Linked DNA regions of Danio rerio. The main gene of each other region encodes a partner of the protein of the gene in region 2 in a complex. Links are inferred from orthologs where the notes say so. Each region holds a gene or a part of one and is shown on either strand. Other genes may lie near its edges.

Region 1 (4,175 bases), on a different chromosome or scaffold from region 2:
GTCAAAGGAGTTTAACATAGAAGTTCTAGTAAATTAGTAATGTGTCAGTCCGTTTTAGTCCAATCCAGTCCAGTTGACTTTTAGTTTCGTTCAGTTCAGTGTGATTTAACTTTAATTTTAGTTGTATTTTAATTGAATATAGTGGGCTTTTTGACATTTCTTTGCACACTTTAAATTATGACCATCACTGCACTCAATATTTCTCGTTCAACTCTGTGAAAGTTAAAGCCATTTAAAAATCCAACACTGCCATCTAGAGTCAATTAATAGAATTGAATTGAAAACAAAGTTCTTGGACCAAAGAAACATTTTCCTTAAAGTGTAAAACATTGTTATTTTTCAAATGTATTCATATTTATTTATAACTTTGTGTACTTTAGAATGTTTACAGTTTTATTTTTATTATATTATTTTTATTTGTATTTTTTGAGAGAGAGAAAAAAATAATGACTATACACCCTCAGAAATAAAGGTACAGGAGCTGTCACTGGGGCAGTACCTTTTCAAAAGGTACACATTTGTACCTGAAGGGTTCATAATGGTACACCAGAGGTACATTTTAGCAACATTTGGCCACTTATTTGGCCACTGTGCACTCTTTGGGTACAAATATGTATCTTTTGAAAAGGTACTGTCTCAGTGACAGCTCCTGTACCTTTATTTCTGAGAGTGTAATTAGGACTGCATGATACTGGAAAAATCAGACATTGCAATATTTTTTTTCTGCTTAAAATATTGCGATATACCACCAGATGAATTGAATAGCTCTATTTAAAAAGAATTCATTCATTTAGATAAATTGGAATGATCAAGTTTATTTTTTATATGCAGTGCATTTGCATAAATCATAATAAATTACAAGCATAAATACAACAGCGCAAAGATTAAAGTGAAATAAACAGTACTTCATGGTTTTCTGGAACCATAACAGTATCCAGGTACAGAAATTTAATCGTCATTTTATAAATTATTTAAAAAATTACAATCTGATCCTTATAATGCTCATTAATTGTCATTTTAATTTTTTATACTTTAACACTAGGTTTTAATCATAGCCCTAACTATAATACATGATTTACAGAATGAACCCACTGAATCTCATTTAGTATAACATAGTCTATTTACTGTGTTACTTCGGTACAAAAAACAAACATGTGGTTTATTAAAAACTCTTATTAAAACATTACAATGTATAGTTATTTCTCAGTAACTGTCATTTTAATTCTTTATACTTTATCACTAGATTTTAATAATACAAAATACAATAAAATACTGAATATAATCCCTAATTTGTATGAGGGGGATTGAACCCCCAAATTAATACTTGATCCCCCCTTGAAGGACATCAAAACAAGATGTATGGGGGTTCAGCCCTCAGCCCTTAGTAAGAAATAGCTCTCTCTAATCTCTAGTTTAATTCTTAAATGGTTCATGCTATTAGAAAGAAAAAATATGATTTAACAGTCTAAAACTGGCAGTACTAGTGCACCAAAGCACATCTTAAGTATTCACAAAATGCTTCTTGTAAAATAGGTGTTTTTATCTGCATGTAGCCTAAATAAATAAAAAATAGACATAATTTGTATAGTAACTTCCAAAATAGGTTCCAAAAACACTAAAAACGTATACATTTATAAATGAGATGTAATTTAAATACATTAATTGATTGACTGAAGCATGCATTACCAAACTGGTACCAAAAAAAGTTGATTATACATTTTATATAAATTGACAATTATACATCCCCCAATTGTCAATGTATAATTTGCACGCTTTTTATAGGTACTTACCCCACCCAAAGCGCTGCATGCCAAAGCAAAAAACTGCATCCAGTTAATGTTTTCGCTGAAGTTTCCAAGTGCGAGGATAGTGTCAAGCTGTTCCACAGGCAAGTGTAGGGCTTTCCACTTGGGAAGAAGCTCATCTTTTGTAACTGTTTCTTTAGATGTAAGCTGCAGGCAAGACAAATCTCATCAGTATTCACAGATATGAAATAGAAAGACGGTGCTGTGGATCACACCTGTTGATGAAGGATCTTCAGAAGGCCTGGTGTAAGTCCTGTGTCTGTCTTTTGAGTCGCCACTGGCAATTCCAGCCTCTTCTTGACTGGCAGGTCCTGACCTTTGGATAATGCTGAAAAATAGCTGATGGAGAAACAGTTTAATTCTTGTCATTTATCATGTTTATATTCAGTTTTAAAGCATATATTACATATAATGGCAATTTGGATGCATAATACACAGTACAAAATGTTTGGCTTACTCAGCTGCCCACTGCAGCACATCACGAGGCTGTGTCCTTATTGCTGCTTTAGTGAACTGCTTTAACATATTGGGCAGAGCTGGAGGGATGTTGATCTGCTGAGCGCAGTACATGGTTTCTGAAAGAGGCATCACTTCACTTTGAGCTGTGTTTTAGGATAAGAAAGAGAAACTGCACACACAAAAAGTATATTAATACAATATATGTTACAATATATATAAAAAGTGAAATAGCATGAATTCAATACATGCAAAACGGGAAAGGCCATATCAGCATATTTCATGTCACATAACACTAAAACATGATTAAAGAAAATACGTTACATACAGTACATTAACGTTATACAAAAACGTACGTGCTAAAGTTAACTCTATCTATTATCCAGACTTACCGTTATGTTATTTTAAATAAAGAGATGCGATTATGTCGTTTTATTAATATAATAGTTAGTACTTTATAGAAAATATACTATTAATAGTATTATATATAGTTTTTTGGCATCCTAAAATGCAGCAGCGACTTGTTCTGTTTTTCATAGCAACGTGTTGTTTGGAAGCGTCACCTAGACGCCGAAAGAGCTCTTTGTGATCTGATTGGTCAATGTCAAATAAAGGGCGTTAACTACAGCTGTTGTTGCCATGTCCTCCGAATATATGTAGGTTTCCGCTTATAAAAGGTTGCGTATTTATTGTAGCATTGCGTATCCTGTGGAGATCCCTTTAAAGTTGTTTTTAAAAACCAAGCAAAATGAAGATAAATAAGAGTGTTTTGTATACATGAAAGGCTAGAATCAATTCAAACCTAATCGGTGAAGATATTTTTCATTTTTTCACAATAAACTGTTGAAATGCCATTTCCACCACTGTCATTTCCATCACCACTCTCATTTTTAATTTTTTTTAAAAAGCTCTCTTCACACATTAAAAGTGTATTCACAATGTATAAGTTCATGCTTTATTTATTATACAAATTCAGTTTATTTTATTTTCTCATAAGCTCTTAACCAAAATAATATTAAATTGTAGAGGGTGACAGGTGAAAAATTCAGCATACAACTAATTTATTTTATTAACAAATGTATAATAGGGTATAAGCCGAGCTAGTGCTGTATCCATGCTGATACACTTCTGGTGACCTGTTATTGTGAACTTTTTTCCATTTTATACGGTTCCTTATACAGCATCGATGTTGTAATGTCATTAAAATACATTCAGTTAAATAAACGTTAGCATTTATTTGGTTGCTCAAGCGTAAAACGAGACAAAAAGCTGTTTACTCGCACGCGCCTGTCAGAATCGGCAGGCTAACACAGAAGCTCCATTGAATATACTGGGGTAAAATAAATGCTCATATTATAAAGACATGGCAGGGGAAATGTAATTTAATGCAGTGCTTCTTGTACAATCTGAGACCCACTTTAAATCGGACATCACTCAGCTAGTGGAGATCGCTCATCTTTAAAGAAAACATACCTTAAACGCACGGATTTTGCATTGGCATTCAATTCGCCGGAAGCGCTTAACCCAGGTTACTGGCAAATTAAAAGTCCTATTTGCATGCTTTGGCATATACCCCATTGTATACATATTGTGGAAAAGTTTATTAAATTTTGAAATAAAAGCTGTATACTAAGATGTGGTGGAAATGACATTTTCAGTTCACGATGAGAAAAATGTTTCTCTTCTTATCCAATTTTGTACTCTTACAGATCTTAAAACTAGACAAATTGTTTAAACTTTTGAGGCTATTACGTTAATTTTGAACAGGTTTTTTTTTTACTCAACTTCACAAGGCTAAAAGTGCCCGTAGTTGAAGAATGGATCATATTTATACTGTGCATAGAGTTGAAGTCAGAATTATTAGCCCCCCTGAATTATTAGAACCCCTATGGAATATTTATTTACGCACAAAAT
Region 2 (4,155 bases):
CATAAAAGACAGCAAATAAAGCAGCTTTTCTGTCCATCAAGTCAAAGAGAACAAAATTGCCACCTTCTGATTAACTGGCGACAAATATCAAAAGTAAAAACAGAATTTGCATCAGTAGGAGCAGCTGCATGAATAAATTATCTTCATTTACTAAGTGACTTGCGCATCAGAAGGCAATCCTGCACGCAGTGAACGCGCGCTGGCGTTTGAAGGCGTGAGACGCTACTCTTACTTCTCATTTAAATAATTTTTTTGTTGTTGCTTGGTTTCGTGGTGGTGTAGTTCTTTATTTCACTAGTCCTATTGTGATTTGCAGTATTAAAACTACAAATAATACCAGCATGCAATAGCTCAGTGCGAGCGGCGAATGTGACGTCCAAAGTGAGGTTCACTTTGGATGCGCGCGACATGATTTCCGGTGAACAGTTCGCGCGGCGCCGCGCTTGATTTGAGTTGAATTTGAATCGCTTTGAAGAGATTTTGTCTGTAACAGTACGACTGTACAGACATCTTAACTATCCGACCATGCGTGATCAGCATAGAGATAACCAGATGACCAATAATTCTTGGCTAGAAATTGCAACAGCCATGGAAAGGAAGTGTTTTGTTAAAGTTTGGAAAAACCTGGGGGATAAGTTTGTTACAACAAAAAAGAGGCCATGGCAAAAGTGGAGACCCAGGTGGTTTTAAGATTACAGAATATGTTTTTCCACCATTTATAGGTTTTACACTGATGTATCATTTTGAAGTTAAAGCAATGTAACAAAAATTAAGTAACAAATAAGGTATTTAATAACTGGACAATATGAACCCATCGACTTACAGTAAACTGATGCCCAATTTCTAGGCTTTATTGGTGATGATGGACAGGATTGTTTGACCATTATTGCCTTTTCAGCTCATTAGTAGAGGACAGAAACTAGCCAGACAATAATGTGTCAATTGTTGAGTGGGCAAAAAATGTTTTTTGTTTTTTTGCTGTTATTCTTGCCAGAATAAAAAAAATAATTGTAGAGTAACCCATGTTCTGTTGTCATTGATATTTAACTTTAATAGGTAGAACTGTCCGAGATATAAACAAAAGTGAGTGATGCATCAAACTTTGATTTAAAAAATCTTGAATAGTTATAAAACTTTATAATCATTAATTTTCTTTTTGGCTTAGTTCCTTTATTAATCTGGGGTCGCCACAGCGGAATGAACCGCCAATTTATCCAGCAATTGTGCCCTTCCAGCTGCAACCCATTCTCATTTACAACAGCAGACAATTTAGCTTAGGTAATTCACCTAAAATGCATGTGTTTAGACTGTGGGGAAAACCGGAGCATCTTGAGCAAACCCACGCAACACGGGGAGAACATGCAAACTCCACACAGAAATGCCAACTGACCCTGCCAAGGCTTGAACCAGCGACCTTTTTGCCTTGAGTCGAGAGTGCTACCCACTGCCCCACCCGTTACCCAACTTTGTAATCATAATAAATTATAAAATAATGAAAAATAATTATTTTTAAAATCTTGAACAATATTAAAAATATGACGTAGTCTTAAAAAGTCTTACATTTGACATTATGATATCTGCAGAAACCCTTTTTTTTTACAAGACTTCAGTCTATAATCTGAAAAAAAAACATTATGGTAAGAAGACAACTTAATTTGTGTGATATTTAATTTATTAATAATATGTTTAGGCACTAGGCAGTGTTGTTCTGTGGTTTCTGACGGTTCAGTTCGCGAATTAGGTAATTAACAAAGTTTCTCCATAATTTGCAAGTGTTTTTTTAATTTATTAAATCATCTATTGATCGTACAGATAGAAAGGCATCATTTGAAATGATTAAAAGTCGTGCATTTGTGCATATTTCTGTTATCTTTATACTCAAAATAGCAAAACATTGTTTTTGTAAAATAATCATGGTGCGCAGTGGGTATTGCTATCGCCTCAAAGCAAAAAGTTTGTTGGTTCAAGCCCTGGCTGAGTGAGTTGGTGTTTCTGTGTGGAGTTTGCATGTTCTCCCCATGTTGGCGTGGGTTTCCTCTATAGGTGCTCTATAATTATAATCTATAATTAATGCTGTTTACACAGTTTTAAAAGTGTTTATAGTATCTTTAAATGTGTTATGTAAAATGTGTTTTACTGCCTGAATCTTGTCTGACTCCGCATTTATGGATAATTCCACCAATATCGCCAAGCTAAAAAAGTAATTTGTAATTTTGTAATTTGAGTAGTTTTTACGAAGAGTAATTTGTACTTTTACTTGAGTACTTTTTAACACCAGTACTTTTACTTGTAATTGAGTACAATTTCAGCAATGTAACAGTACTTGTAATTGAGTACAATTTTTTTGTACTCTTACCACCACTGACTAAAATAAGACCAAAGAAAACACATTTTATACCTGATCTCCATCTGATTTCTCTTTCTCTTCCAGATCCTCATTCTCTCCCTCATGATCAGAGTCTGCTTTCAATACCTCATCTTCACCAGAGTCTGACATTATTCTTCTATCTTAACTACCTTGTCGATCAACTTTTCACGGGTTGAAATAAATGATTGGGAATTTAGATCGATCAATTTACATCATTAGCATGCTGGCTAACTTTAGCTTGCTTGTTAGTAACTTAACAGACAGGATGCACTGAAAATAACTATTTTACTTGTAACGTTAAACAATTTATGATCATTTCCTGTAACATTAATAACTCAAAAATTACAAATGGATTATATGATCCCGATGTCCGAACAAGTTTTCTGTCACTCACCTCGCGCTGATGAGTGTTTATGGCTGTTACCATAGTAACACCACATGTCCCAGAGAGACTACCGTTCCCTCATCATAGGATCTCGAGAGTGCAATTTCACATCGCGTGGCCATGACAAAAAAAAAGTTGTGAGCCGAACACATACCCTCCCGGTAATTATTGTGCATGTCTAGGGTTATTCACATTTAACCACACTGAGTTTCTGTGGATAACTGAGTGATAACTGAGTTGTTACTCACTATATTTGAGGTAATAGTTGCAATTTAGGTATAGAGTGACACGAATGCATGAGTGTTTCCAGAGTAATGGCAGTTCATAACACTATGGCGACCCCTGATAAAGCAGGGATTAAGACAAAGGAAAGTGAGCTAGTGTGTAATTTGAAAAACAGACTAATAGCCTCATGTTGTTTACAGTGCATCAATGCCATTGGAAAGTCGAGATCTTTAATGAAGGGTAGAAAAAAATCATCCAAATATCAAAAAGTAATATTTGGTTCACAAAATGTAAAGGCAGTAAGATGCTTATTGGGTTTATAAAGGTTATGTCATAAAGTTGTTTTATGTTAACTGTTTTGTAAAACAATTGGTTGTAATTGCAATAAATGTTAACTTTAAGCTTGAGCTAAAAACTAAAGACTAATGCAGACTCAAAAATGGAGACACTAAAGATGTCTGAAGATGATATCTTTATTTCAGTTAGAATCAGCATCTGCCTTGTCTTTGTCTTTATAAAAAACTCAGCTGTATGTCACATCAAGCACCTTGCAGTGATCCTCAGCAGCACTCACCCTTAGGTCACCCTCACCAATCCCATTGTCTTCTGGTGGCCCCTCAGAGGGTTGTGCTGTGTCTTTGGTGACCCTCACCAACCCGCAATGTCTTTGGTGACCCTCACTAACCCACAACATCTTTGATGACCCTCACCATTCCCCAGTGTCTTTGGTGACCCTCACCAACTCTGTTCTTGGTCCCCCTGACCAACCCTCTGTGTCTTCAGTGACCCTCACCAACCCACAGTGTCATTGGTATCCCTCAACAACCCCCAACGTCTTTAGTGACCCTAACCATCCCTCAGTGTCTTTGGTGACCCTCACCAGCCCGCAATGTCTTTGGTGACCCTCACTAACCCACAACATCTTTGATGACCCTCACCATTCCCCAGTGTCTTTGGAAACCCTCACCAACCCTCTCTGTCTTTGGTGACCCTTACCAACCAGCAATGTCTTTGCTGACCCTCACCAACCCTGTCTGTTCTTGGTGACCCTCACCAGCCCTCAGTGTCTGTAGTGGCCCTCACCAAGCCACAGTGTCTTTGGTGACCCTTTCCAACCCTCTGTGTCTTTGGTGTACCTCACCATCCCTGAGTGTCTGTGGTGACCCTTACCAACCCT

What was found.
Region 1: lrrc23 (region 2) and ropn1l share a complex: the UniProt entries of both Homo sapiens proteins name them as parts of the axonemal radial spoke complex. The link is inferred for Danio rerio from reciprocal best matches to the Homo sapiens genes LRRC23 and ROPN1L.

Annotation. Positions count from the first base shown.
Region 1 is NC_133199.1:25,901,207-25,905,381, reverse strand, and holds the start of ropn1l (ropporin-1-like protein), read right to left. Parts: upstream 2,807-4,175; 5' UTR 2,654-2,806; intron 2,434-2,653; 5' UTR 2,394-2,433; coding exon 2,263-2,393; intron 2,145-2,262; coding exon 2,021-2,144; intron 1,953-2,020; coding exon 1,791-1,952; intron 1-1,790. UniProt on the Homo sapiens protein: Functions as part of axonemal radial spoke complexes that play an important part in the motility of sperm and cilia. Important for male fertility.
Region 2 is NC_133198.1:23,038,165-23,042,319, forward strand, and holds the start of lrrc23 (leucine-rich repeat-containing protein 23), read right to left. Parts: upstream 2,814-4,155; 5' UTR 2,498-2,813; coding exon 2,399-2,497; intron 1-2,398. UniProt on the Homo sapiens protein: Essential for sperm motility and male fertility. Plays an important role in the proper assembly of the third radial spoke (RS3) head and the bridge structure between RS2 and RS3 in the sperm flagella.